Anolis sagrei: one gene and its partner. The main gene of each other region encodes a partner of the protein of the gene in region 2 in a complex. Links are inferred from orthologs where the notes say so. Each region holds a gene or a part of one and is shown on either strand. Other genes may lie near its edges. The genes, in order: YWHAQ and protein capicua homolog.

What was found.
Region 1: the proteins of protein capicua homolog (region 2) and YWHAQ are in contact, whole or in part, in a crystal structure (PDB 6KZG), measured with the Homo sapiens proteins. The link is inferred for Anolis sagrei from reciprocal best matches to the Homo sapiens genes CIC and YWHAQ. Residues at the interface, in NP_001291744.1 of Homo sapiens: Arg1207, Ser1208, Met1209, Ser1210, Glu1211, Thr1212, Gly1213, Thr1214; in NP_006817.1 of Homo sapiens: Lys49, Arg56, Lys120, Arg127, Tyr128, Gly169, Leu172, Asn173, Val176, Tyr179, Glu180, Leu216, Ile217, Leu220, Asp223, Asn224, Leu227, Trp228.

The regions. Positions count from the first base shown.
Region 1 is NC_090021.1:130,705,237-130,720,639, forward strand, and holds the start of YWHAQ (14-3-3 protein theta), read left to right. Parts: upstream 1-6,977; 5' UTR 6,978-7,238; intron 7,239-11,244; 5' UTR 11,245-11,333; coding exon 11,334-11,627; intron 11,628-15,403. UniProt on the Homo sapiens protein: Adapter protein implicated in the regulation of a large spectrum of both general and specialized signaling pathways. Binds to a large number of partners, usually by recognition of a phosphoserine or phosphothreonine motif.
Region 2 is NC_090035.1:84,259,242-84,275,476, forward strand, and holds the start of protein capicua homolog, read left to right. Parts: upstream 1-10,131; 5' UTR 10,132-10,253; intron 10,254-11,028; exon of another isoform or gene 11,029-11,241; intron 11,242-16,235. UniProt on the Homo sapiens protein: Transcriptional repressor which plays a role in development of the central nervous system (CNS). In concert with ATXN1 and ATXN1L, involved in brain development.

The DNA of each region.
Region 1 (15,403 bases), on a different chromosome or scaffold from region 2:
TCTTGATTGGTTGCCTCTCTCCCAAGGGGGAGGGTGAAACCCCCTTCCACATTCCATCATGCCAGGAAAAACAGGATTAGAGCGCCGCTCTGGGCAACAGCAACCATTCATAAACTGGGATGCAAAAACCCGTGAAACGGGTCCACAAAAAGCGAACTGCAAAGTAGTGAGGGAACACTGTGTGTGTGTGTGTGTATACACACACACACACATACACAGAGCAGAGTTTCAGAAGTGTTCTTTTTAGTTGGAGGTTGGACGCTACAGACAATGCTGTTGCCTGTTTTTGGTCAAAAGATATTTAGCCACTTGTGCTCCTATTTTTAACATTTTTGTACTAATTTATGTAATGCTTTTGATATGAAATAATGATGACGACGACGATGATGATGATAATAATAATAATAATAATAAAAACACGAGAGGACATACAATTGAAAACTATTTTTCCACATTTCCAGAGGCCCTGCACCCTTAATCCCAGAAAATGTAGAGGATGCATTAATTGATATTAAAAACAACCATTAATGTGCCCAATTCACCCTCCACATTCTCTGGGAGCAGAGGCACAGGATCCCTGGAAATGTGGGGAAACCATGAGCAAAAAACATGAGAGAACAGCTGTCTTGGAATCTAGTCCTGCATGACCTTATGGACAACATCCAACAAAGCTGACTATTGACTCACACTGGAAAACCTAGAGAGTCCTGCAGAGTTGTTCTCTCTAGGAATCTCTAGGTCGTCCAGCATGACTTTATGATCAATGTCTGGTGGGAAATGAGTGGAATAACTAGAGTTTCCCAGCGAGAATATTTTAATCAAGTCTGTAAATAATCAACTCCATAAAAACCAAGCCCACAAATCTGGGGGTCAACTGCCGTTAAAAGTCCTTTCCTTAGTAACAGGGTTGTTGCCAAAATCATTGTGAGATTTGTTTTGTTTTCTGTTTTTAAAAAAGACCTTGCTTTCTGCCTGAAGGACAAGGAAACAATCAGCTTGGCCTTGCCTACTAAGGAGGTCAAAGATTTGGAAGCAGCCAACAGACATTGAAAAAACCATTTCCCCATCTCTTCTATCTGTACTCCTGAGGATGAAGACCTCAAAGCTCAAGCATGGTTATGTGGGAGAATACAGTCCTTCAAATAGCCCAGATCCAAGTCAAATAGGACGTCACAGGTCATAACCAGCATTAGGCAGAACACTTGAGGTGAACCTGGCTAGTTGCCTTGCAAAATCTTGAACTGACAGACTTTATTCATCCCATCCAGAGTGAACTATCATCTGGCAGAAGCTCCCATCTTAACCGTAACTGCCTTGAAGTAAGCCTAACTTAACACAAGGGGAACCTATTTCCAAGTAGCTATGGTTACCATCGGACCATTTGTACATTATGACTCAGAACATAATTTAAGCAACATAGAAAGAAAAAAAATGTTTTCCAGTTGCTTTGGGTGGATGCGGTCTGAGTTCATTTTACTAAATGCCATTGTTACAGGACATTTTCCATATGGGATAAAGGGACAGGGTTATGATTTCTGTTCTAGCCACCATCTGAATTAAACCTCAGTTCCACATTGTTGGCTGAATTTTGAAATGTCTTGGTTTTTCTCTCTCCACTCCACTTTCACCTTTTGGCCTCAGCTTTCTTCAGTTTCTGCAGGCTGAGGCCCCTTCCACACAGCTGCATAAAATCCTACATTTTCTGCTTTCAAATGGAATACATGGCATGACTCAGATAACCCAGTTCAAAGCAGATATAGTGGGATTTTCTGCCTTGATATTCTGGGTTGTTTGGAAGGGTCCTTAGAGAGGAGGGGAGAGTCTTGCCTTTTCCAGTACATTCAGGCACAAGGAACCTCAAGTGCATCTACAATGTGGAATTAATGCAGTTGGACACCACTTTAACTGCTATGGCTGCATGCTATGGAACCATGGGAGTTTAAGGCTATATTGCCCTATATCTATTCTCTGTTTTGAACTGGATTATATGAGTCTCCACTATCAGATAATCAGGGATAAGAAGATAATTTGGGATTTTTTTTTCATGTCAGGAGTGACTTGAGAAACTGCAAGTAGCTTCTGGTGTGAGAGATTTTAACTATTTTAATATGTGATATTATAGATGTATTTAACTATGTTGTGCTCCATCTTGAGTAGAAAGCAGAGGCAGGTAATAAATAAAATATTATTTATTAAATGGAAACAATTAAAAATAGAACAGCTTTCAAATAAAAGCTACTTCTTCAAAAACATCCAGTCTGCAAAGGCCTTTTTATGAAGATGCCTATTATTATTATTATTATTATTATTATTATTATTTTATATTATACTTATTATTTTACTTGTCTCACCTAAAAATAGGGGGTACTGATATAAGCAATGCAGGTGCTTCTCGCCATCCCAAGAAAGGCACCCCAAATCTTAGAAGCCACCACTGAAAACACATTGTCTTTGTATCCCTACCAAAGAAGATTGCAGGAACAGTTCGGTTTAAACTTCAATGCAGGAACTGGATGCTTAGATCTCAGAGAGATGCTTTGGACTATGGACTGTTGCTTCTAAGGAAAATGCCCTGTGATACCTACAAAGATAAACTACTACAAAATCCTATTGTAACTGGATTCATAAGCAAAGTGCCTGTATGCTGTATACATGAAGTTTTGTGAGTAAATCAACTGTTACTTTTAAAGAAGACTTTATTTTGTCTCTTGAGAGCATGATTTAAAGGCAAATATATTTTAAGGGAGAGTAGATCTTTTTGGGCAACTAAAAAGGAATACTTCTGAAACTCTGCTAAATATATGTTTTTGTTCATTGACATGTCTTTGTCCTTAGCAGTTCAAAGACATACCTAGGTACATCAGTTCAACAGCTGAGAGACCTAGTTGCCTTGCATGAATGCTGGTGAAAGCAATTTTTTTCCCCAAAAGGTTGTGATTTCTAACAAGGTCATGCCTTTCCATTGATGAGTGGATTTCCAAAAAGGTTATGAATCCCATTTCCCAAATGGTTTTGGAGAGTCACATTTTCCAAAAAGGGCGATTGTGCCGGAGGTGATAATGTAGGTAACCTGGCCCCTCAAACTATGGGTAATGTTTATTTTTTATTTATTGTTGATTTGATGTGTTATTATTTGTTCACTTTCTTTTTATGTATCTAACTGCACTTCTTCATGTTATGACCTGCCCTGAGTCCCTCGGGGAGATGGGCCTGGGTACAAATAAAGATTAATATTACTATGTTTTTTTTAAAAAAAATAATGTTATTGAAAATTTTTACATAGTAGGTTGATATTACTATGTTAAGGATCAGTGTAGATGTGTATGTTGTGTTGTTGGACTCAGACTACCACCAGTCCTGGACATCTTCCACTAATGGGTTCCATTTAAAGAATAAAACAAAATGACATCTTCCCTATGCTCTTTATGCAAATCGCATATTTTTCTAGACCTACTCATTCCACCAAGACATTGATATAATGCAACTCAAAATTCTCAAAGTGTCACAAATCCTTAGTTAAACTTACCACAACAACTCCAAGTGATGGGGTATCCTACCTGCTCTGTGACTTTACACAACATACTCATACATCTATATAAATAAAAATGTAATGTTAGTTTGTGGGATTAACATAACTCAAAAACCACTGGACGAATTGACACCAAATTTAGAAACAATAACACCTATCAGGCCAACAAGTGACCATCACCCATAAAAAAAATTGAAAAACACAGCAAAAAATGCTTTAAAAGCATTTTTTTAAAAAAAAAAATACAATGCATGCACAAAACCACATATACAAAAAATATATACACTCATATACACATACAAAATACATATACACAGACTGGGCCACAGCAACGTGTGGCATGGGATGGCTAGTACTGTATAAGAAAGCAACAAGTAGGTAGACCCAATATCCTTTCTAACAAAATAGGGTAGGTTTTTTCTATTTAAGGTAATGATTCTCAGAAGATGATCAATAACAATCCTGCTAATTTTGAAAACACTGATCAGGTTATGTTAAAGATTCCCAAGCTCTCATTTGATTTTTGTTTTGCTATTATGTATAAGAGACACCGTTTTATTAGGCTGTAGGGGCAATGGCTCACCAGAACATGGCATATAATGGGACTTGAGCATCCACGGATTGGAGTATCCACAAAAGATCCTGGAACCAAACCATAGCAGATTTCAAGGGTTCAATATATGCCTACCGAGCCCACACTTTGCACATCAGAGAAAGTGAGGCTGAACCCCTGGAAGTTCATGCCAAATATTATTATGATACTTTTCACCTGCGCTCACAACTTCTGAGGATGCCTGTCAAGAGATGTGGGCAAAACGTCAGGAGAGAATGCTTCTGGAACACAGCCATACAGCCTGGAAAAAATCACAGCAACTTAATTGTTATTATTAAAATGATTTTAAAATATTATTTAATTTAAATATGTTATATTTAAGGTGACATTTCTTTTTTGTTGTTGATGCAACAGATTCAGCAGCCATTACTGTTGCTGTGGACAAGATACTTGGAGGGATGAGAGTGACCGCAGGGGGATTGGCAGAGTGGGTGAAGGTGGTGGTTAATGCCTCCCTTTGGGAAAATAACATTCCAGTGAGCTCAAAACAAGCTGTGATAAAAACTGCTGTTGAAAAAACCATCACTGGACCCCACTCAATTCGTCAACTATCGACCTGTTTCCAATCTACCCTTCTTGGGCAAAGTCCTGGAATGTATGGTGGCCTCACAACTCAAGGTATTCTTGGAAGACATGGATTATCTGGACCCAGCACAGTCTGGTTTTAGGCCGGGACATGGTACCAAGACAGCCTTGGTTGCTTTAGTGGATAATCTACGCCAGGTGCTAGACAGGGGGAGTGTGTCCCTGTTGGTTCTGCTGGACCTCTCAGCGGCCTTCAATACCATTGATCACAGTATCCTTCTGGGATGCCTCACAGGAATGGGCCTTGGAAGCACTGTTTTGCAGTGACTCCAGTCCTTTCTGGAGGGTCGCATCCAGAAGGTGTTGTTGCGGGACACCTGTTCAACTCCACAACCATTGTCTTGTGGGGTTCTGCAGGGCTCAATACTGCCCCCATGTTATTTAACATCTACATGAAGCCACTAGGGGAGATCATCTGGAGTTTTGGGGTGCGGTGTCACCTGTATGCAGATGACATCCAACTGGACTGGATGAGGGCAAACAAATAGAAATTGAATTCAGACAAGACAGAGGTACTCCTGGTCAGTCGTAAGGCTGAACAGGGCATAGGGTTACAGCCTGTGTTAGACGGGGTTACACTCCCCCTGAAGGTGCAGGCTTGCAGCTTGGGTGTGATCCTGGATTCATAGTTGAGCCTGGAACCTCAGGTCTGGGTGGTGACCAGGAGAGCATTTGCACAATTAAAACTTGTGTGCCAGCTGTGCCCGTACCTTGAGAAGTCTGATTTGGCAATAGTAGTCCATGTTCTGGTTACATCCCATATGGACTACTGCAACGTGCTCTACGTGGGGTTGCCTTTGAAGACTGTCTGGAAGCTAGAAATGGTCCAGCGTGCGGCAGCCAGGTTACTAAGAGGAGCGGCGCTCAGGGAGCATACAACTCCACAGTGCGCCAGCTCCACTGGCTGCCAGTGTGCTACCAGGCACAATTAAAAGTGCTGGCTTTAGCCTATAAAGCCCTAAACAGTTCTGGCCCAACTTACCTATCCGAACATGTCTCCCCTTATGAACCTTCCAGGAATTTAAGATCATCTGGGGAGGCCCTGCTCTTGATTCCACCTGCCTCACAGGTGGGCTTGGTGGGGATGAGGGACAGGGCCTTCTCAGTGGTGCCCCCTCAGCTGTGGAACTCCCTTTCTGGGGATATTAGATCGGCCCTCTCCCTCCTGACCTTTAGGAAAAATCTGGCTCTTCGACCAAGCTTTTGGAACCTCATTGTAACCAGATATACTGTGAACGGATATGGAACGACTTGACGATGCAAATGGACATGGATTTAAACCTGGAAGTCATTTTTTATAGTTTTAAATTGTTTTAATATGAATTTTATTATGTGATTTAATGTATTTACGTGTCTTCGGCATCTAATTGTGGCCAGTCTGTATGCCGCCCTCAGTCGCCTTTGGGCTAAAAAGGGCAGGATAAAAGTGTGATAAATAAATCCATACATAAATATATAACGAAGGGCCGCGTTTGCAAGGCAAGGCAAGGGGCGAAGCATCAGAACTCATTAGCTTTGCAAAAGCCTCTTCCTGGCGCAGAGGAAAGGGTATATTGATAGGGATTAGGAGAGGAGCTGCCGCTATTTCTGGATCCCCGCGAGGCCATGGCTGGTCATGCCTTGTAACGTTGCCCGCTAAGCCCCTGCGAAAGCCACCCTCCTTGGCTTTGAAGGCGGGATGCCTGCTCCAATTCCGGCATTTCCTCCGCATGGAGGACTCAAGGTCTTTATCTGCGGCTCGCATTCCTCCCCTGAAGACTTTGACCTTCCTTCCTGTGCTGCTTGGTGGAGGCAGCAGCAGCAACTCAGCATGCATGGCAAACCCTCCTCCTCCTCCTCCTCTCCCGTTTGCTTTTCCCTCCCGCTTTGCAAGGAGCAGCACGAGACGGTGCCTGACTCCCTGCCCTCGCTTCCGCACCGTCTCGTGCCTCGCCCTGGCTCCTAGGGAAGAGCCGCTTTTGCGCATGTGCGGGGGAGAAAAAAAAAAAGAACAAGGGAGAGGAGAGGAGGGGGGTTGTAGCGGCGTCGCTATGGCGACAGTGACGTCATCCCACCCTGGATCTAATTGGAGGAAACCCCGTGGCCCCAGCTGCCGCAAGCACCGGCCAACCGAGCTTGGGCCCTGCTGGTTAGCTTAGTCCTCTCCGCGGCCGCGCGCATGGCTGCCATTGGCCGCCAGGGACCTCGAAGGCGGGGCCCGGGCAGGGATCGCCGGTGCCGATTGGCCGAGCCGCGAGAGCGCGGGCCCTTGCCGCGGAGTGGGTTCGCGCTTTGTGCCAACGCCCTGTAGCAGCGACGCTGTTCCTCGCGCCTGCGACGGGAGCGGCTTTCTGTCTCTCTCTCTCTCTCTCTCTTCCTCCCCCGCCCTCCTCCTTCCTCTCCTTCCTTCCGTCCTTCCTTGCTTCCTTCCTTCCTTCCGAGCGCAGTCGACTTGAGCAGAAGGCGCGCGCCGGCACGGCCTCGCGCCCCCCTGAGACTCAGCAGCGGCAGCAGCAGCAGCGGCGGACTCAGGTGAGGGAAAGGGGTCGAGGAAGAAAAAAAAGAGAGAGAGGGCGCGAGGGCACGTCCTCGCGCCGCGGGTGGCCTCGCCTCTCTTCGCCTCTCCTCGCGGTGGCGTCCATTTTGTGGAGGACGGAAGAGCCGCGGAGGGAAGAGAGGCAGCTAGAAAGAGAGAGACACACACACACACACACAGAGAAAGAGAGGCGGCACCTTCACCACCAGCGCCGCCATTTCGCACCGGCCTTTTCTGGAAGGCAAGGGAGGCGCCTCTCGGTCGAGTGGGCCTTCCCCTGCCCTGCCCGCTCACCTTCTTTTCCTGCCGCCCTTCTGAAGGGAGGTGGGGGAGCCCTTCTTCCTTTGTACCTCCTCATCCCCTTCCTGATCCCCTTGTGTTTCACCGTTTTGCTTTCACTCCTCTCTCCCCTCACTCCCTTTTGCTGTCCTCTCTTTCCGCCTCCTTCCCCTTTTTTCTTCCCTCCCCTCCCCCATTTTCCTCCTTCCCTCCTTCCCCTCCCTTCTGCGGACAAAGATTTCACACCTTGGGCGCGCCCTCCTCTTTCTCCTCGCTCCCTCCTTCTTCTCCCTTCCACACAGCCCTCTTTCCCAGAATATCAAGTCAGGAAATCCCACAATACTTGCTTCGAACCGGGGTATCTTGGGGGCCCTTCCACACAACCCTCTATCCCAGAATATCAAGGCAGGAAATACCTGCTTTGTACAGGGTTATCTGAGGGCCCTTCCACACAGCCCTCTTTTCCAGAATATCAAGGCAGGAAATCCCACAATACCTGCTTTGAACCGGGGTATCTTGGGGGCCTTTCCATACAACCCTCTATTCCAGAATATCAAGGCAGGAAATACCTGCTTTGAACCAGGGTATCTTGGGGGCCCTTCCACACAACCTGCTATCCCAGAATATCAAGGCAGGAAATCCCACAATACTTGCTTTGAACCGGGGTATCTGGGGGCCCTTCCACACAACTCTCTATCCCAGAATATCTCACATTATTTGCTTTGAATTTGGATATATAGAATTGTGGACTCAGATAACCAAGGGCCCTTCCACATAGCTGAATAAAATCTCGCATTTCTGCTTTGAACTGGAATATATAGAAGTGTGGGCTCAGGGCCCTTCCACATTACTATATAACCCAGTTCAAAGCAGATAATGTGAGATTATATACAGATGTGTGGAAGGGGCCTTAGATAACTCAGCGCCCTTCCACACAGCCCTATATCCCAAAATATCTAGTTAGAAAATCCCTCATCTGCGTGTGGACTCAGATTTATATATTTTTTGTTCGTGTCAGAAGCGACCTGAGAAAGTGCAAGTCTCTTCTGGTGTGAGAGAATAAGCTGACTGCAAGGACGTTGCCCAGGGGACGCCCAGATGATTTTGATGTTTTATCATCCTGTGGACTCAGATCACTCAGTTCAAAGATATTCTGGGATATAGGGCTGTATGGAAGGCCCATTACCTTTGAAAGGAGTCTTACCCACACAGTGATGTGAAAGTCACTCTATGTTGGAATCCTGATTTTTTTACTTATTCTATTTTGCCAGGCATTGACAACACCTGAATAGTTCAGAATATCTGCCAGCCTCATATGACCAACCAGGGAAGGGCAGGGTCAGACAGTGCATGGACACAAAAGCCCTTTTTGATTTGGGGCCCTTCCACACAACCATATAACCCAGAATATCAAGGCAGGAAATCCCACAATATCTGCTTTCAGGTGGGTTATCTGAGGGCCCTTCCACTCAGCCCTATATCCCAGAATATCTGCTGGGTTTGAGTTCCTACTCAGATAATGTGCAATTTTCTGCCTTGATATTCTGGGACATAGGGCTGTGTGGAAGGGCCCTAAATTATCTGAATCCACACTGCCGTATATTCCAGTTCAAAGCAGATTTTCTGCCATGATATTCTGGGATATAGGACTGTGTGGAAGAGCCATCAGATAACCCAGTTCAAAGCAGATATTGTTAGATTTTCTGCCTTGATATTCTGGGCTATATGACTCGGTGTGGAAAGGCTCCCACTCCTGGCCTTTCTTCTTGGCCCCTCTTTTGGCTTTATTCCTGTTGCTCATTTCCTTGTTTTGCCTGCCAGGCTTTCCCACCTCAAGGTGCATTTATACTGCAGAGTGAATGCATCATGGCACCCCTTTGTAACTGCCATGGATCAGTGCCGTGAAATCCGAGGTCTATAGATCTGTGAAGCACCTGCCCTCTTAGGCACAGATGGCTAAACACCCACCCTTCTACACAGCTATGTAACCCAGAATATTAAAGCAGATAATCCACGATATCTGCTTTGAACTGGGACCCCTTCCTCACAGCGAATCCCACATTTTCTGCTTTGAACTGGAATATATGGCAGTGTGGACTCAGATAGCCCAGTTCAAAGCCGATATTGTGGATTTTCTGCTTAGATATTCTGGGTTATATGGCTGTGTGGAAGGACCCTGGGTTATCTGGGTCCATACTGCCATATATTCCAGTTCAAAACAGGAAATGTGGGTTTTTATTCAGTTCAGTGGGCCCTTCCACACAGCCCTATATCCTAGAATATCAAGGGAGGACATCCCACATTATCTGAGTGTGGACTCAGATAACCCAGTTCAAAGCAGATATTTTGGGATTTTCTGCCTTGATGTTCTGGGTTATTGGACTGTGGAAGGGGCCCCAGGGCCCTTCCACAGAGCTATATAACACAGAGTATCAAGACAAATAATGCATAATAACTGCTTTGAACCAGGTTATCTGAGTCCACACTGCCATATATTCCAGTTCAAAGCAAATAATGTGGGATTTTATTCAGCTGTGTGGAAAGGGCCCCAGTAAAAGGGCAACTCCCAGGAGTCCACAGGATTGAACCATGCCAAGCAAAGGGGGGTGTCGACTGCATTAATTCAGCAGAATAGACGCAGCCTTTGCCTCTCCCGCACCCGGCTTCCCTATTCTAGCCCTGCATGCCTCTGACGCCCTTCTGCACATGTCTTGCATTCTTATTAAAGGCTGCCCTTGATTTGAAGGCTTGATTCTTATTTCTGCAAATAGCACTCCTCCCCATGACTTGATCTCTTTGCTTCTGATTTACAAAAGAAGGGGCTGAATAGCTTTCAGATGCTGTTGAACTGCAGCTCCCATCCTTCATAGCTATGGATGTTGGGTAGAAATGATTGGAACCACAGTTCAACAGCAACACCCAGAATATCCAATCCTGAAGTAGGGACCTCTGTCCCGATCACTATTTCTAAGCACTGTAGGTACACCTGCACTGCACAATTTATGCAGTTCCATACTTGGTTAAGGGTCATGGCCCAAATATATGGGATCATGGGAGTTGTGGTTTTGCAAGGTCTTAAGCCTTTTGTGCCCAAGATGTCTTGTGCCCCACCAAACCACAATTCCCAGGATTCTACAGCACTGAGCCACTGTCCTTAAATTAATGTCAAACCGCATCAGTTCTACAGTGTAGATGCGGCCTTAATCGTAGCAACACAGTTTGAAGCTGCATTGTATGTGTCTACACCATACATGCACAACCCGTGACGCTCAGAAGTGTTTTGGACTTCAGCATTCTGACCATTGGACTAAACTAGGGCTCCTGGGAGTTGGATTCCCAAACATCTGGAGACCACAGATTGTGCTGGTCTGGTCTACATTGACCATATAGTGCAGATTCAAACTGTATTATGTGACAGTGCAGATCCAGCCGGATTGCTATCTTAGGCTGCATCTGTCATATAATCCAGTTCAAAGCAGATAATCTGGATTTTATATGGCAGTGTAGATGGGGCCTTAGGTGACATCCTCAGGGGAGGAGGATCATTTGACCTTTTCTAAAGCTATGTTTGTTCTGTTCTTGCATCTACATTGGCAGCACTTCACTGTTGCTCTCTTTCTCATTGGCCTGACTCCCCACATCCATAGTAGCTCCTCTAGTTGCTTTGAGCAATTGCTTACTTGGAATGAGCACAGATTTCAGAACGTCTCCTTGTGCTTGCAGGTTTTCTGGTGCCTTCTCTTGACTGTGTGAAAGGCCTCTCTCTCCTCCCCAAGCCAGTTGTCTCGCTGCTTATACTGCTGCTGGCCAACATGGAGAAGACCGAGATGATCCAGAAGGCCAAGCTGGCTGAACAGGCGGAGCGCTATGATGACATGGCTACCTGCATGAAGGCAGTGACAGAACAGGGCGCTGAATTGTCCAATGAAGAACGCAACCTGCTTTCTGTGGCATACAAGAATGTTGTAGGGGGGCGGCGCTCTGCTTGGCGGGTGATCTCTAGCATTGAGCAGAAAACCGATGGCAATGACAAGAAGATGCAGCTTGTCAAGGACTACCGAGAGAAAGTGGAATCTGAGCTTAAGTCCATCTGTACTACGGTTCTGGTAGGTTGGCTTCATCTTACATATTATTAACCTGCTATCCATATGATAGAGAATTAAATGGAAGAATCCCCCATTGCTATTAATTAATTGTTACATTGTGTCTTGTACCTTATCCAAAAAGACAGACTGATAGAAAATACAGAATTTCGTGGTGCTGTGTTGTTGGAAATTTTAAATCTGCCAATAGAAGCTTAGTTCTAATTCTCAGAACAAACTTCTAATGACTTTTCACCCATTAGCTTATGTTCCTCTTGCTTGTGTATTAATTTACTGTATTATCGTTTGGACTGTTTGGAGAACATCTACTGGAAATAATGGAGAACAGGCAAGTGAATAAGCATGATGTCAGGAGGTGATTGTGAAAAAACCCCAAATATTGCCTACTGTAACAACCCAAAATATCAAGAAATAGGCATGCTGCTATGAGAAAACTCACAGCATTTTATATTTTGAGTATATTTTCTTTTTATTTCATTAAACATGTTTCTGTGATGTTTAAAGAGAGTATGACTTTGGCTATTACTGCTTCTTTATTATTCCACATCTGGGGTCCCTCGCCATTCTTGTATCATGTACTTTATAGATTATATGGAGTACTGATTTGACATTATTTCCACACCATTTTACAATTGTCTATTTTAATTGCCAAGTAAACTTTTTTTATTTGCAGGATACATCATATTACTGCCAGAAGAGTTTAAGAATGTATTCTTGAAGTATTGCTTCAAGAATGGGTTTACTCTAAAAATGTGGATATGAAGGCATACCCTTGATACACATATATGCACATATATACAGTAAACACATGTTGAATTCTTTCAACAGAGTGATACCTAATAAACACAAGAAAATTAATTAAGATATTTTCTAAATATATATCTACTCCCAGAAACTTAAAGGCCTTAGGCCTTCAAAAATTATTTTGATATTTTTTTTATTTTTAAACGCATATACTTGGGCTTAATATATTAACAATCCATCTTGCACCCATATTTGCCCAGAAGTACAAAGATAGCATGACAAGTTGTTACTTGATTATTGTAATGCAGGCTATTATACACCACACATTTTGCAGCAATTGAAAAAAAATACACCTCTGCTAAGTTTTGGCTTATATCAGTGGTTCTCTCTCAACATGTGGGTCCCCATATATTTTGGCCCTCAACTCCCAGAAATCCTAACAGCTGGTAAACTGGCTGGGATTTCTGGAAGTTGTAGGCCAAAACACCTGGGAAGCTACAGGATGAGAACCACTTGTTTAAATGCTTTGTGTTCTTTTAGGCTTAAAAGACATGATTACAGTTTCCAACCGCATCAGTACATAGTCCCCGTCCCCCCCAGATTTATATTTGCAGAACAGATATTAAAGTAGTAAAAATTAAGGTTTTTTTTAAAAGAACAAACTGAAAAGACAAGATTTCATTCAAATAAAAAATGTTTGATTTTATTAAGTGCTGATACTAGAAATTATTGAGAACTTGGGAAGGCTCTTGCTTTTTTTGGTGCATAATATAACAGTAATAAGGATACCAGGTGAGTTTTGAGTGCCCCAAGGGTGAAGTGCCATTACCAGAAAACCTACCTCTCCAATTGCATCCCAATGCGTTTCAGATAATTACATCAAAGAGGGAGTGGTCTCAGATGAGCATTGAATTGGCAGGTGAATTGAATCAAGAGTTCGACATAAGATTTTGTTGAAAACCTTGTTTGTTGGACTTTAACACTGGGATCAGCAACCTGGGCCTTCTGAAAAGGTTGTTGGACTGTAGTCCCTCAGCATTGGTTGATAAAAGTTACAGTGTAACCACATCTTGAGGACCCATTCCTTTGAATTAAGTTTGGGCACTTTGTGAGCTGGGAAGTTCTTTAGCGTAGTCAGATGATTATTTGCCTGAATGTTGTTAACAGACTAGATGTTGTGTTCTGGATTAGCTGCAGTTTCCAATCTATTCTTAAAGGCTAACACAAGTCAATGCGCTTCCATAATCCTATCCCAAGTTACTAAATCACAGATAGTCCGTGAACAAGTTATTGCATCTTCTTGCTTCTTTCCCTTCATTGACCTTCTTCACAAACTGTTGCAAATTAAACTATTTATGAAATTCTGTTTCTTGCTTACTTAAATGGTCTGCTGATGGAAAGCTTCCCATTCACTGAAATATAATGGGTATGCCCCTGGATCTTGACTAGTATGTACAGGTTACATTATTGAGCAATCCACACTGTGAAATTTAGGGAGCTCACCTTATGAAATTCATTAAATTGACAACCAGTTTGAATGCACGCATGCACACAGATTATATGATTAAGGGAGGTTAGTGCCTTCTATTTTACCTAAAATAACATCAGTTTTTAAGTTCAAAAATTTTTAACCTGTGCTCTCTTAAACCTTTGGTGGGAAATTCTGACCTGTGTAGAATTTTGTTAGCTCCAAGAGAGACCTCTTTTTCATACCAAAAGGAAGTAAATAGAACTCATTTCTGGTTTTTGAGGAAGCCTCCACCTGAATTTAAAATACCTTCTGTTGGGGGACATGATATAATTGCTTTTCATGTCCCCTAAAGGGCGTGAGGGGCATTTTTCAGTTTAAAATATGTGTAGGGAGTGGTAGGATACTGTATACAAGCTGCACTTTGACTGCCCATGAATCATAGTGAAATGTTCACTCTAGGAATCTATCAGTCCTCCAGTGCAATTTTGTCGTTAGCATCTGGTGGGTGTTGACCAAGAAAAATGACCTAGAGATGTGTTCTTTTAATTAAAAAAAAAGGTTTTTTTAATGTGTGTTTCCCAGCCTGTGAAGGGGTGGTGTATAATCCAACTAATGCTAAATAGCTGTATCCTTGCACAGTGGATAGATTTGAGCATAACTTTTAATTTGAAATTGGTGAGTCTTAAAGCTGCTTTTCTCAAAAGGTTTATTGCAGTATAAAAGCTTTGTGGGCAAAACGTTTGTAATTTTTCTTAATGTGTCAAAAGTATTTTGTGCAAGGGCTAATAATCCAGCTATGTTAATAGCTTAGAATATGTAGTATAAATAATAGCAGACATGAGCAAATATGACTTGTCTTAAAATATTTAATAGGATAATATAGAACAAAACAGTTTCTGTTTCAGTCAAAACACCCTTGATATTTCATATACAAATACGATAGCAGAACATGTGCATAGTTGGATTTTTCAAAATGGAATCTGGGATGATATTTGATTAGATTCTGTGGCTAAATCCACAGTCTGATGTTGAGCAAGTCAAACTCTCACAGCCTCTGAAGAAGGCAGTGTCAAACTTACTCTGAACAAATCTTTGCCGAGAAAACCTCATGATAGATTTGCCTTAGGTTGGAAACAACATGGACAAATCCTATGATTTTATTGTGCTGTAATCAGATTGTTTAATACAGTAGAGTAATAAATGATAGTAATTAAAAGGAATCGCAAGTATATTTAAAAACGAGAATGGTAGTGGGTTGTGAATGTGGGAATCTGAGGGAAGTTCATGTGCTGACATGAAATCATGACTAGGATGCAATGCTGAAAAGATTTTGCATTGATTTGGGAAAAGCAATGAGAAATACGTGCTCATTTGACTGCATCAAGCTGGTGTGTTCACATGACCTTCAAGAGGAACTGGGATCCATGTGATCAGCAAGCCTTGGAACATGATCTTTACTGATAATAATGGAGTATTTTTCCTACTATTTCTTCTTTATCAATTTCATAAGGAGAGTCTGGTGTAAAAATGTGGCAATAAGGAAATGTCCAATTTTTATAACTTG
Region 2 (16,235 bases):
AACAGATCCTGCGAAAGGGCGGCAAGGGTCCAAGGAAGGTGCCTGCAGAGGAGGAGGAGGAGGAAGGGGATTAGGAGGGGATCTGGGTCTCCCAAGGCTTTCCTGCCTCAAATCCCACAGGAGACAGGAAGTCCGCAGGGGGTCCCAGGTGGCCAAGCCCCACAGACGGCGGTCATCTGTCGCCCCTGAGGGAGAAGCGCCCACTCCGCCCTGCATTCCCCCCTTGAGAGAGAATCCCTGGGTCGTGGGTGGCGCCAGGGCCCAAAAGGGGGGTCATGGAGGTGGGGGCCATTTCTTTCGGCCACACTTCTCCTCCTCTGACCAAGAAATTCCTTCGTTCGGACAAGAGGAAGAAGTTTCTTCCTTCCTCTGCCCAGCCGATTATACTCTAATCTAATGCATCTAATCACCTCTCAACAAAGGTTTGCTCCAGGCACTGTCAGGCCATTATATGCTAATCAAGGTGGTCAGTTGAAACCTTCACACCTAGCTCCAGCAGACAAGAGTCCTTTCATAGAATCCTAGAATCCTAGAGTTGGAAGAGACCTCATGGGCCATCCAGTCCAACCCTATTCTGCCAAGAAGCAGGAATATTGCATTCAAAGCACCCCTGACAGATGGCCATCCAGCCCCTGCTTAAAAGCTTCCAAAGAAGGAGCCTCCACCACACTCCCTCCGGGGCAGAGAGTTCCACTGCTGAACGGCTCTCACAGTCAGGAAGTTCTTCCTCGTGTTCAGATGGAATCTCCTCTCTTGTAGTTTGAAGCCATTGTTCCCTTGCGTCCTAGTCTCCAGGGAAGCAGAAAGGAAGCTTGCTCCCTCCTCCTCCTCCCTGTGGCTTCCTCTCACATATTTATACATGGCTATCATGTCTCCTCTCAGCCTTCTCTTCTTCAGGCTAAACATGCCCAGCTCCTTAAGCCGCTCCTCATAGGGCTTGTTCTCCAGATCCTTGACCATTTGAGTCACCCTCCTCTGGACACATTCCAGCTTAGAGTCAACATCTCCCTTCCATTGTGGTGCCCAGGATTAGTGTGTTCCAATTGCACACAGTGTAGTGTGTTCCGTAGGGAGACCAAGGTGCTTGTCTATAAAGCTATTCCCCTCCCAACCCTGCTCTATGCCTGCGAAACGTGGACTGTCTACAGACGTCACACTCAACTCCTGAAACTATTCCATCAGCACTCCAATATGTCACAAAACCAATGTGCTGTTCCAGCAGACACCAGCCATCCCCTCTCTAATGCCAGAAATACAGCTTAATGGTGTCACTTTAGAAAATGTTGACCATTTCTGCTTCCTTGGCAGCCACCTCTCCACCAAAGTCAACATCGATGCCGAAATACAACACCGCCTGAGCTCTGCAAGCGCAGCATTTTCCCGAATGAAGCAGAGAGAGACCAAGGTGCTTGTTTATAGAGCTATTGTCCTCCCAATCCTGCTATACGCATACGAAACGTGGACTGTCTACAGACATCACACGCAACTCCTGGAACGATTCCATCAGCACTGCCTCCGGAAAATCCTGCAAATCTCTTGGGAAGATAGGCAGGGAAACATCAGCGTGCTGGAAGAAGAAGCAAAGACCACCAGCACTGAAGCGATGGTCCTCTGCCATCAACTCCGCTGGAACGGACACGTTGTCCGGATGCCTGACCACCGTCTCCCAAAGCAGTTGCTCTACTCCGAACTCAAGAATGGAAAAGGGAATGTTGGTGGACAGGAAAAGAGATTTAAAGATGGGCTCAAAGCCAACCTTAAGACTGAGAACTGGGAAGCCCTGGCCCTTGAGTGCTCCAGCTGGAGGTCAGCTGTGACCAGCAGTGCTGCAGAATTCGAGGAGGCATGAGTGGAGGGTGAAAGAGAGAAACGTGCCAGGAGGAAGGCGCATCAAGCCAACCCCGACCGGGACCGCCTTCCACCTGGAAACCGATGCCTCCACTGTGGGAGAAGATGCGGGTCGAGAATAGGGCTCCACAGCCACCTACGGACCCACAAGGAAACCCATGACGGAAGACCATCTCACTCGTCCAACGAGGGATCGCCTAAGTAAGTAAAGGTGTGTTCCAATTGTGGGAGTTGAAGTCCAAAACACCTGGGGGAGGGAGAGGGGGAGGAGGGCCCAAGTTGGCCCAGGCCTGCATGATCTTATGCAACTAAATTGGGAAAACCGTTCCCTTCCTGGCTTAAAAGGGTGATTCCCCGTTGAATGGTGCGGCCTTGACTTCGAACGCATTGACTCCAGGAACATTGTTTTTGTGGCTGCCACAAACTACATGGAATGGGTTGAGCCTCGATGGGGAGAGATCTGTGTTGGTGGTGGTGGTGCAGGGAGATGTGGAGGGACGTTTCCTGCACGTTCCCCACGAGGGATTGAATGATGGACCCACTGAGGCAGGGACAGGCAAGCTTTTGAGCTTGCTGTGTCAAAATTTGCCAAAAACCAGAGCTGGTGGAGTTGGTGTGTCAGCTCAGGTCCTCCATCTTTAAAGATTTCAGCAGGGATCCCATCAGGTCCGCTGGCTTTGTTATTTGAGACAACACCATAGGACCCTGGATGGAAGTTGATGTAGATCCATCTTAATAGGACGACTGACCACTGTACTTTTATATATAGTGTTTTTAAAGTTGTTTTTGTAATTGTGATATATGATATTTTAATGAGTGTATACGTTTTTATGGCTGGAAACCGGGCTGAGTCCCTCAATGAGGTTGAGAAGCTCGGTATAGAAAACTGTGAAATAAATAAATAAATAAATAAATAAATAATTCTTTTTGTTGCCTGATGGTATTGCTGACTTCTTCCAACCTAGGCAGTGCTGCAAGCTCATCCCTGGTTTGTTGTTGTGGGATTTAGTGTCTAGGTCCAGGGAAGTCATGCTCCCCATGCTCTATTCCGCTTTGGTTAGACCACTTTACCTGGAATATTGTGTCCAATTCTGGGCACCACAATTCAAGAGAGATATTGACTCTAAGCTGGAAAGTGTCCAGAGGAAGAGGGTGACTAAAATGATCCAGGGTCTGGAGAACAAGCCCTATGAGGAGCGGCTTAAGGAGCTGGGCATGTTTAGCCTGAAGAAGAGAAGGCTGAGAGGGGATATGATGAGAGCCATGTATAAATATGTGAGAGGAAGCCACGGGGAGGAGGGAGCAGATCAGGGGTCTGGAGAACAAGCCCTATGAGGAGCGGCTTAAGGAGCTGGGCATGTTTAGCCTGAAGAAGAGGAGGCTGAGAGGGGATATGACAGCCATGTTTAAATAAGTGAGAGGAAGCCACAGGGAGGAGGAGGGAGCAAGCTTGTTTTCTGGAACAATGGCTTCCAACTACAAGAGAGGAGATTCCACCTGAACACGAGGAAGAACTTCCTGACTGTGAGAGCCGTTCAGCAGTGGAACTCTCTGCCCTGGAGTGTGCTGGAGGCTCCTTCTTTGGAAGCTTTGAAACAGAGGCTGGCTGGCCATCTGTCAGGGGTGCTTTGAATGCAACATTCCTGCTTCTTGGCGGAATGGGGTTGGACTGGATGGCCCAGGAGGTCTCTTCCAACTCTTGGATTCTATGATTCTAGGATTCTATGAACAATGCTCAAATGTGCAGATGTTAAATTTGTAGAGCCTCTTACACATTGAAGGATGGAATTAGATTGGCTCTTATAAGGTGTACTTCTCTGTATGCATGTGGCCGCATGTCATCAAAAATAGCTATGCGTGTCAGTGCTGACACGCGTGTCATAGGTTCACCATCAGGGCACTGAGGGAAGGATGCCATGGATCCCCAAGGACAACAACAACCACCACCACCACGGTGTGGCCGAGTCTCCTTCCTCTCCTTGGTGGGCGGCTGGCGTTGGGTGGGGTGGGGGGGTGTCTCTGGCCAAGGCGCGCCAGGCATGCGGCTAAGCGTCCTGCTTAAGCCCCTCAGAATGGCAACAGCTGAGGGGGAAGCCAAGAGGGCAAAGGTCAGCCCAGAGCCTCTCCCACCCCCACTACTTTTCAAGGAAGGCGAAAATAACTCCACACAGAATCATCCGGAAGGGAGTGGATAATGGGGGGGGGGGGGGAGGGGGGGGCAGGACTTGGGGGTCCCCAAACGCCCGCCCGGCACAGACTCTTAATCCAGGTTGAGCCGCCAAGACAGATGGGCCTGGACCGTGGGGGGAGGGGGGGGGAGGCACCTGCATGCGGTGGAATGGGGGGGGGGGAGGATGAGGGGCAGGGACCCCCCATCAAAGGGAGGGGCTAGTCTGGGTGCCACCCCTTCCCCACCTGTTCCTAGCCTGCCTGGTGGGAATTTCTCCAACCCTGACCCTTGACTCTTGACCCCTGGCTGAGGGGGGGGGGGGGTCCTTCTGCTTTGTTGTTCTCCCTCTTTCACATTTCCCTCCTTTCCACCACTTTTTTTTCGGGGGGGGGGCTTTTTTTGCCCGCCATAACCCTTTGCCCCCCCTTGACCCTTGACTTTTGACCCCTGGCCGGGGGGGGGGGGGGTCCTTCTGCTTTGTTGTTCTCCCTCTTTCACATTTTCCCTCCTTTCCACCACTTTTTTTTGGGGGGGGGGGGGTTCTTTCTTTGCCCTCCATAACCCTTTGCCCCCCCTTGACCCTTGACTCTTGACCCCTGGCGGGGGGGGGTGTGCTTCTGCTTTGTTGTTCTCCCTCTTGCTCCTTTCCACCACTTTTTTGGGGGGGAGGGGGCTTTCTTTGCCCCCTATAACCGTTTGCCCCCCCCCAAAAGGGGGGAGGTTTTGGGGGAGGACCACCTTTCTGGGCCCCGGTTATTTATAAATAGGACACCACATTATAAATAATGCGGCATTATGATTCCCACTCTCCATATATATATAGAGAGAGGGGGGGGGGCATTCTGGCCATGCTCAGAGGCATGCTTGGGCACCCCAGGATCGTCCCCCCTCCAAAAAAAAATCCCTTCCCCTCCCAGCAAACCTTTGATCACTAAGAGATACCCCCCCCCCAATATTGGTGTCACCTTCCTGCTGCCCTTTGACCCCAGTTCACCCCCCCATCACTAGGAGGGAAGGGCCCACAAGCGCCACTGAGGGGCCACTTCCGGAAGTGCCTTTTTCTCGCAGCCCCTTCCAACAGAAATGGGGGGGGGGGTCCCAAAAGAGTCACCCCCTCCCCAAAAAAGGGCACTTCCAGGAAGGAAGAAGAGGGAGGGGCTCAGTTTGCCCCCCCCCCCCCACCGAAGTGCAGGCATAAAAAGAAAGAAAGAAAGAAAGAAAGAAAGAAAGGAGGAGAGAAGAGAGGAATGAAAGAAAAAAAGGAAGGAAGGAAGGAAGGAAGAAAAGATAGAAGGATGGAAAGAATGGAGGAATGAAGGAAGGAAGGGATGAAGGAAAGAAAGAAAGGGTTAGCTGTTGCCTTTTGCTGGAAGATTACTTTGGTTTTCCTGATGTTCAATGACAGGCCGAGCTTCACGTATGCTTGTTTAGAGTGGCTTGTAGGTCTTCTTCTGAATGCGCACAGACTACATTATCATCAGCATATTGGAGTTCCATAACAGCATTGTAAATCTTCTTCTGAATGCATACAGTATGATATCATCAGCATACTGGAGTTCTATAACAATGTTGTAAGTCTTCAGAATGCCCATAGACTATGTTATCATTGGCATATTGGAGTTCTATAACAATGTCGTAAGTCTTCTTCTGAATGCGCATGGACTATGTTATCATCAGCATATTGGAGTTATATAACAATGTAAGTCTTCTGAATGCACACAAACTACATTATCATTGGCATATTGGAGTTCTATAACAGCATTGTAAGTCTTCTTCTGAATGCCTACAGAGTATGTTATCACTGGCATACTGGAGTTCTATAACAATGTTGTAAGTCTTCAGAATGCCCACAGACTATCTTATCATTGACATATTGGAGTTCTATAACAATCTAAGTTTTCTGAATGCACACAGACCATGTTATCATTGACATATTGCAGTTCTATAACAATGTTGTAGGTCTTCTTCTGAATGCCTACAGAGTATGTTATCATTGGCATATTGGAGTTCTATAACAATGTCGTAAGTCTTCTTCTGAATGCGCATGGACTATGTTATCATCAGCATATTGGAGTTATATAACAATGTAAGTCTTCTGAATGCACACAGACTACATTATCATTGGCATATTGGAGTTCTATAACAGCATTGTAAGTCTTCTTCTGAATGCCTACAGAGTATGTTATCACTGGCATATTGGAGTTCTATAACAATGTTGTAAGTCTTCTGAATGCGCACGGACTATGTTATCATCGGCATATTGGAGTTCTATAACAATGTAAGTCTTCTGAATGCACACAGACTACGTTATCACTGGCATATTAGAGTTCTATAACAGCATTGTAAGTCTTCTTCTGAATGCCTACAGAGTATGTTATCACTGGCATACTGGAGTTCTATAACAATGTTGTAAGTCTTCAGAATGCCCACAGACTATCTTATCATTGACATATTGGAGTTCTATAACAATCTAAGTTTTCTGAATGCACACAGACCATGTTATCATTGACATATTGCAGTTCTATAACAATGTTGTAGGTCTTCTTCTGAATGCCTACAGAGTATGTTATCATTGGCATATTGGAGTTCTATAACAATGTCGTAAGTCTTCTTCTGAATGCGCATGGACTATGTTATCATCAGCATATTGGAGTTATATAACAATGTAAGTCTTCTGAATGCACACAGACTACATTATCATTGGCATATTGGAGTTCTATAACAGCATTGTAAGTCTTCTTCTGAATGCCTACAGAGTATGTTATCACTGGCATATTGGAGTTCTATAACAATGTTGTAAGTCTTCTGAATGCGCACGGACTATGTTATCATCGGCATATTGGAGTTCTATAACAATGTAAGTCTTCTGAATGCACACAGACTACGTTATCACTGGCATATTAGAGTTCTATAACAGCATTGTAAGTCTTCTTCTGAATGCCTACAGAGTATGTTATCACTGGCATACTGGAGTTCTATAACAATGTTGTAAGTCTTCAGAATGCCCACAGACTATCTTATCATTGACATATTGGAGTTCTATAACAATCTAAGTTTTCTGAATGCACACAGACCATGTTATCATTGACATATTGCAGTTCTATAACAATGTTGTAGGTCTTCTTCTGAATGCCTACAGAGTATGTTATCATTGGCATATTGGAGTTCTATAACAATGTCGTAAGTCTTCTTCTGAATGCGCATGGACTATGTTATCATCAGCATATTGGAGTTATATAACAATGTAAGTCTTCTGAATGCACACAGACTACATTATCATTGGCATATTGGAGTTCTATAACAGCATTGTAAGTCTTCTTCTGAATGCCTACAGAGTATGTTATCACTGGCATATTGGAGTTCTATAACAATGTTGTAAGTCTTCTGAATGCGCACGGACTATGTTATCATCGGCATATTGGAGTTCTATAACAATGTAAGTCTTCTGAATGCACACAGACTACGTTATCACTGGCATATTAGAGTTCTATAACAGCATTGTAAGTCTTCTTCTGAATGCCTACAGAGTATGTTATCACTGGCATACTGGAGTTCTATAACAATGTTGTATGTCTTCTTCTGAATGTCTACAGACTATGTTATCATTGGCATACTGAAGTTCTATAACAATGTTAAAAGTCTTCTGAATGCGCACAGACCATGTTATCATTGGCATATTGGAGTTCTATAACAATGTTAAAAGTCTTCTGAATGTGCACAGACCATGTTATCATCGGCATATTGCAGTTCTATAACCATGTTGTAGGTCTTCTTCTGAATGCCTACAGAGTATGTTATACTGGCATACTGGAGTTCTATAACAATGTTGTAAGTCTTCAGAATGAGCACAGACTATGTTATCATCGGCATATTGCAGTTCTATAACAATGTTGTAGGTCTTCTTCTGAATGCCTACAGAGCATGTTAACATTGACATATTGGAGTTCTATAACAATAAGTCTTCTGAATGTGCACAGACTATGTTATCATCGGCATATTGGAGTTCTATAACAATGTTGTAGTTCTTCTGAATGAGTACAGACGATATTGTCATCAGCATACTGGAGTTCTATAACAGATGTTGTTATAGTCTGCTGAGGTTGAATAGCTTGCCGTCTGTCCGATAGATGATTTCCACTCCGGTGGGAAGCTTCCCATCAACAAGGTGAAGTATCATAGCGATGAAGATGGAGAATAGAGTTGGGGCAATAACACATCATTCCTGTTTGACACCCGATTCCACCTTAAATGGGTCACTTTGGGAGCCATTGCTATCCAAGACTGTTGCCATCATGTCATCGTGGAGGAGCCGCAGGATGGTCACAAATTTGTTTGGGCACCCAATTTTGTGGAGGATGGTCCAGACAGCGCTGCGATTCACTGTGTCGAATGCCTTGATAAGGTCCCCAGCGGAGGTTAAAAGGGAGATACCTCGATAGTTTCCGCAGTCTGTTCTTTCCCCCTTTTTGAAGAGAGTGATGATGGTGGCGTCCTTGAAGTCGGCTGGGATTTTCTCGGTCACCCACACTTTTTCTATGAGCCAGGGGAGTTGTGGTGCCAGCTCAGGTCCTCCCTCTTTGAAGATTTCAGCAGGGATCCCATCTGGTCCACTGGCTTTGTTATATTTTTGTTGGCTGATGGCATTGCTGACTTCTTCCAAACTAGGCTGTGCTGCAAGCTCATCCCTGGTTCGTTGTTGTGGGATTTAGTGTCCAGATCTAGGGAAGTCCTGCTCCCCATGCTCTATTCCGATTTGGTCAGACCACATCTGGAATATTGTGTCCAATTCTGGGCAGCACCATTGAAGAGAGATATTGACTCTAAGCTGGAATGTGTCCAGAGGAGGGCGACTAAAATTATCAAGGGTCTGGAGAACAAGCCCTATGAGGAGCGGCTTAAGGAGCTGGGCATGTTTAGCCTGAAGAAGAGAAGGCTGAGAGGAGATATGATAGCCATGTATAAATATGTGAGAGGAAGCCACAGGGAGGAGGAGGAGGGAGCAAGCTTCCTTTCTGCTTCCCTGGAGACTAGGACGCAAGGGAACAATGGCTTCAAACTACAAGAGAGGAGATTCCATCTGAACATGAGGAAGAACTTCCTGACTGTGAGAGCCGTTCAGCAGTGGAACTCTCTGCCCCGGAGTGTGGTGGAGGCTCCTTCTTTGGAAGCTTTTAAACACGGGCTGGATGGCCATCTGTCAGGGGTGCTTTGAATGCAATATTCCTGCTTCTTGGCAGAATGGGGTTGGACTGGATGGGCCGCCAGGTCTCTCCCAATTCTAGGATACTATGTTCAGCTGTGGAACTCTCTGCTTCGGAGTCCAGCGGAAGTTCCTTCCTTGGAGGCTTAGAAGCAGAGGCTGGGTGGCCATCTGCCGGGGGTGCTTTGAACGCGACTGTCCTGCTTCTTAGTCCACCAGGTCTCTCCCAATTCTAGGACTCTCTGATTCGACATACTGTTGCGGGGAGTTCCAAAGGCGCCTGTAAATGAAGGCTCCTTCTTTGGAAGCTTTGGGGCTGGATGGCCATCTGTCGGGAGTGCTTTGAATGCGACTGTCCTTCTTCTTGGCAGAATGGGGTTGGACTGGATGATTGCCCATGAGGTCTCTTCCCTCTAGGATTCTATGTTCAGCTGTGGAACTCTCTGCCTCGGAGTCCAGCGGAAGGAAGTTCCTTCCTTGGAGGCTTTGAAGCAGAGGCTGGGTGGCCCATCTGTCGGGGGTGCTTTGAACGCGATTGTCCTGCTTCTTGGTCCTCCAGGTCTCTCCCAATTCTAGGATTCTCTGATTCGACATACTGAGGCGGGGAGTTCCAAAGGCGCCTGTAAACAAAGGTTGACTGACGTTAGGATGAATTGCGGGTGGGCGGGGCTTTCCTTTGAGCTGCACGTGAGGACCTGTTTGCGTGCACACGTGTGTCCGGACACGTGTCCACGCGCCGCCGCCGAGAAGGAGGAGCCCTCTCTCTTTCCCGACTTCCGCGTCTCTGGGCAAGGCGCGCCGGGATTGGCTGCCGGGCTCGGCGGCAGGGGCCAATGCGGGGCCGTGGCGGTGACCTCATCCCTCGGCCGCCCCGGGTTGGGATTGGCCGCCCCTCGCGCCCCACGTGGGGGAAGGAGGGAGGGGGTCCCGGCGCGGGCGCTGATTGGCCGCGGAGGAGGCTTCCGCTGTTGCTGAGGGAGAGCCGAGCAGGCCCAGCGCGGAGAGAGAGAGAGAGAGGCCGGCGGGCCCGGAGCGGTGAGTGGAAGCGCATGCTAATGGCATGCAAATGAGGCCCCCCCCAGAGGGAGGGAGGGAGGGAAGGAGGGAGGGGGCGCCGGGCTGGGAGCCCCCCTCCTCCTCCTCCTCCTCAAGAGTTGGCTCCGCGGGGCCTGACGGGAGCTGTAGTCTTTCCCCGGGGACATCCTGCAGAGAGGGCCGCCCCGAGGACTACAAGTCCCGTGAAGCCTTGCGCGGAGGCCAATGATGGAAAGCATTGTGGGAGCTGTAGTCTCTCAGGATTCACCTACAGACTCTTTCGGCTGCTGCAAGGAGACAAACATCCGGCACCTCCCTCGCCTGGGAGAGCGACTGAGGGGAAATGGGGGCGGGGCCTCGCTCGCGGTGCACCCCGGGAGTTGTAGTCCGGACTTCCGGGTTCCCTTTTGCCCCTCCTCCCTCGCACAATAACTCCTAGGCGCCGGGAGTTGGAAGGAGGGAGGGCCGGAGGGGACTCAAAGGACTACAACTCCCATCCTGCCCCTCCGGCGCCAAGTAAACAAGCCCAAGGCCTTTAACTCCGCCCCTTGGTCCTCATTAGGGAATGTCTCTGGTTCCCGCCCATTTCGTCTGCGATTGGCTACTGTAAGTGCTCCTCTCCCTTGAGGGGCGGGGCTTCCCTGTCCCTCTGAGGCACCGATAGGCGGCGCTTGGTGCCCGTCTGACGGGGGGAGAAGGGGCGGGGCAATGCGCCATCCCTCGCGCACGGTGATTGGCCGCGCGGCCTGCCCGTCACGGAGTTGTGGCCTCGGATTGGGCGGCGCCTCCAGCTGGTCCGGATTCATTCACCATTTTGTCTGTTGGAGTAAAAAGCGGCCGAGAGGGGGCTCCGGCTGGCAGAGAGGGGAGGGGGCGCCGGAGGAGGAGGAGGAGGAAGAGCGCCCCCCACCTGAGGAGGAAGGAAGGAAGGAAGTAGAGGTCACGCTTCCCCAAGAGGACCCGGAAGTGGGGCTGGAGGAGGCAAGAGGTCAGGGGTCGCAGGAAATGGGGGGTGGGGAGGGAGGGATCAAGGGTCACGGGGAAGGGGAGGGGGCGGAAGGAGGGAAAGGGGGGGTGGCAAGGCGGAAGTTGGAATCTCCAAGTTTACCTCCCCCTGAATAAACCCGGAAGTGGAGACCCTCCAGAGAAAGGGGCCCAGAAGCCGGGGGGGGGGGCTTTAAGGGAACAAGGGCGCCCCTGAGCATAAGCAGAGGGCCGTGACGTCATCGCCCTCTCTCCAATGGGGAGGGAGAGGAGGGGGCAGGGTTTCCCTTTTGGGGGGTTCCCTGGGGTCAAGGGGAAGTGGCCTTTCTGGGAGGGAGGGGTATTTGGATGGACAGCAAAGCCATGTCCCGCCCTACTTCCTGTTTACTTCCTGTTTACTTCCTCTGCCCGAAGCGCCTCCCCCCTCCCTGCCCTTCCTGGGGGGCAACAAGGCCCTGCTTGGAGGCAGGCGGAGTCCCCTCCCACACAGCCAAATACTACAATAATATTATAATGAGTTACAATATAATACTAATACTAATCTATCTATCTATTCTATTCCATATATATATACAATATATATATATATTGTCGAAGGCTTTCATGGCTGGAATCACTCAGTTCTTGTGGGTTTTTTCGGGCTATATGGCCATGTTCCAGAGGCATTTCTCCTGACGTTTCGCCTGCATCTATGGCAGGCATCCTCAGAGGGAGTGAGGTCTGTTGGAAGTAGGAAAATTGGGTTTATATATCTGCACATCTTAACACCTCTCAACAAAAGATTTTCCCAGGCTCAGCCAGGCCTTCAAATGCTAATGAAGGTGGTCAGTTGAAACATTCACCCCTAGCTTCAGCAGACAAGAGTTCTTTGTCCCACCCTGGTCATTCCACAGATATATAAACCCATTGTCCTAATTCCAACAGACCTCACTCCCTCTTAGGATGCCTGCCATAGATGCAGAAAAAACCCACAAGAACTGAGTATATGTATATAAATGCTCTTTGCATAATGAGTACCTTAAAAACAAAAGAACCAATGAACGAAATCACACCAAATTTGGCAAGAAAACATCTCACAATACAAGGAGTGACCGTCACTCAAAAAAATTTATGATTTTCTCATTTGGGAGTTGTAGTTGCTGGGATTTATCGTTCACCTACAATCAAAGAGCATTCTGAAATCCATCAGTGATGGAATTGAACCAAACTTGGCACACCGAACTTCCATGACCAACAGAAAATACTGGAAGGGTTTGGTGGGCATTGACCTTGAATTTGGGAGTTGTAGTTCACCAACATCCAGAGAGTACTGTGGACTCAAACAATGATGGATCTGGACCAAACTTGGCACAAATACTCTATATGCCCAAATGTGAACACTGATGGAGCTTGGGGAAAATAGAGCTTGACATTTGGGAATTGTTGTAGTTGCTGGGATTTATAGTTCACCTACAATCAAAGAGCATTCTGAAACCAACAAATTATAGAAGTGGACCAAATTTTCACACAGAAACCCCACGACCAACAGAAAATACTGGAAGGGTTTGGTAGGCAATGACCTTGAGTTTGGGAGTTGTAGTTCACCTACATCAAGAGAGCACTGTGGACTCAAACAATGATGGATCTGGACCAAATTTGGCATGAATATTCCATATGCCCAAATATGCTCACAGATGGAGTTTGGGGGAAATAGACCTTGACATTTGGGAGTTGTAGTCACTGGAATTCACAGTTCACCTACAATCAAAGAGCATTCTGAACTCCACGAACGACAGAATCGGGGCAAACTTCCCATACAAAACCCCCATGACCATCAGAAAATACTTAAGGCCACCCAATCCAACTCTCTTCATCAGGGCAAGAAAACATAATCAAAGCCCTCCTGACAGAGAGCCATCCAGTTATAGATATAGATAGATAGATATGATTCAGACACAGAGATTTGAAAGAAACCCTTAAAGAAGGACAATGATTTGTTGCATGTTCCAGAGTAGGCAAACCAGTCACTCTCCACATCAACACTTACACATCAACCCATAAAGAAATTACATAGATTAGAAACCAACGCTTGCTCATTATTTTATTTTCCAGATCAACAGACTGGGCCACAGCAACGCCTGGCAGGGGACAGCTAGTAAAATATAAGAAGTATACTATTGTATCACATGTAATATTACTAACAATATTACAGTATAGTGCTATTTTATTTATTTATCGTGTCAGGAGCGAACCAAAACAGTTGTATTGTATTACAAGCAAACAAACAAACAAAACACAAACTTTGCAGACATGGCATTCTATTAAATGTCATTTGACCAGTCGCTGGACACTTGGAGTGCCTTGGGTGTTGCACTATACCACTACAGTATAGTGGTATAGTATTATTATTATTATTATTATTAACTTTATTTGTACCCCGCTAACATCTCCCAAAGGACTTGGTGTGGCTTACAAAGGCCAAGGCCCTCAATAAAACAGCATAACAAATACAACAATAAAACTCATAAAGCAAAACATACATTTCCATATTGTACTAACATTACAATATAGTAATATAGTACATTAGTATTATGTATTACTATATTGGGTTTTTTGTGTGTCAGGAGCGACTTGAGAAACTGCAAGTCGCTCCTGTTGTGAGAGAATTGGCCGTCTGCAAGGACGTTGCCCAGGGGACGCCCAGATGTTTGATGTTTTATCATCCTTGTGGGAGGCTTCTCTCATGTCCCCACATGAGGAGCTGGAGCTGATAGAGGGAGCTCATCTGCCTCTCCCCAGATTCGAACCTGCGACCTATCGGTCTTCAGTCCTGCCGGCACAGGAGGGGCTTAACCCACTGTTTCTCAAGTCACTCCTAACACGACAAAAAAAATAGTAATACATAATACTAATATTGTACTGTGCTAAATATTGTATACACATATAATAGTGATAATAAAATAATGTCATACAATATAATACTAATAACAATACAATATAAAATTATATATTTTATATTACTAATAATATTACAGTATGCTGGTGTAGTACAATATGGAAATGTATGTTACTAATATTGCACTATGCTAATAATATAATATATTGTATTTACTCTGAGTCCCCTTTGGGGTGAGAAGGGCGGCATAGAAATGTCATCAATCAATAAATAATAAATCAATCAATCACCCAGAATGTCAAGGGAGATCATCCACAATATCTGCTTTGAATAATAATAATAATAATAATAATAATAATAATAATAACTATTTGTACTCCCCAAGGGACTCGGTGCGGCTTACATGAGGCCGAGCCCAAATACAACAATACAAGCAATAATAACAACAATACAAGCAATTAAAATAAAAAAAACATGGACAATAAGATATGCGACATTATCAATAAGACAACACCTTTGAACTGGGTTATCTGAGTCCACACTGCCAGATAATCCAGTTCAAGGTGGGTTGTATAAAGCTGTGCATTAGGGGCCTACACCGTAGTCTACACTGCTGTATAATCCACTTCAAAGCGGATTATAATCTGGATCGTATATGGCAGTGTAGAAGGAGCCGGTGGTGCAGCAGGTTAAACCACTGAGCTGCTGAACTTGCATACCAAAAGGCCACAGGTTCGAATGCAGGGAGCAGGGTGAGCTCCCGCTGTCAGCCCTGGCTTCTGCCAGTCTAGCAATTCAAAAACATGCAAATGTGAGTAGATCAATAGGTACCACTCTAGCGGGAAGGTAATGGCTCTCCGTGCTGGATGGCCATCTGTCAGGGGTGATTTGAATGCAACATTCCTGCTTCTTGGCAGGGGGTTGGACTGGATGGCCCATGAGGTCTCTTCCAACTCTTTGATTCTATGATTCTATGCAGTCATGCTGGCCACATGACCTTGGAGGTGTCTATGGACAAAGCCGGCTCTTTGGCTTAGAAATGGAGATGAACACCAGAGTCCCAGAGTTGGACACAACATGGCTTAATGCCAGGGAAAAACCTTTACCTTTAGGGGCCGGAGGCACACAGAACAGGAACGGGAAAATACTTTTAATTTCCAGATCCTTATTTGCACGTTCAGACCCAGAAATGGTCCACAGAGCTTCCCCAAAGTGTATTGTGTCCCCGCTCCCCATGATTCGGCTTATGATCCATACTAATAATAATAATAACTATTATTATTATTATTATTATTATTATTATTACTATTATTATTATTTCATCTCTTACCCAGCTCTCCTTGTGGCTGGAGGCAGGTTGCAGCATGATTAAAACACATGAACACTGCAAAAAAAACCCTATAAAGATACATAAAAACATGTTAAAATACAGAGACACAAGTCATGAGTTGAAAATTCGGGAGTCCTCCTACCAGAAGAGAGAAGCCTGAGATTCCAACAGCTGTTCCCACTCTCCACACTCTTCTCCAGCATAGTCATGAATTCTGCATGTCCTGAGTGGATAATAGTACCATCTATGCAAAGTGTGGTGCTGAGAGCCATTTATAAGCTTGGGTTCTCCAAACTAAGTTCCAAACTAAGAGCAGCAACTGAACGTTTTACTATTTGCTTATGAGTTTTATTGTGATATTCGTATGTTGTTGTTTGTTGCGGCCTTGGCCTTTGTAAGCTGCATCGAGTCCTTCCGGAGATTTTGCGGGGTATAAATAAAGTTGTTAATAATAATAATAATAATAATGTGGCCACACAGCCTGAAAAAGTTATGACACCCCAGAACCTGTTTTGAATCTGGTTCCCAAACTAATCCCAATCCATTGAACAACCCGGATTGTGTTTCCTGAATGGCCTGGTATGTTTGTGGGACTTGTTCTTGGATCGGGTTGTCATTGGACTACGGACAAGCTTTTGATAGACTCTCTGGTCACAGAGACCTTGAGGGAGCTGGGGGTGGTAACGGCCAACAGGGAGCTCTGGCGTGGGCTGGTCCATGAGGTCACGAAGAGCCAGAGACGACTGAACGAATGAACAACAACTGGTCACAGAACAGTTTTTTTTTTTAAAAA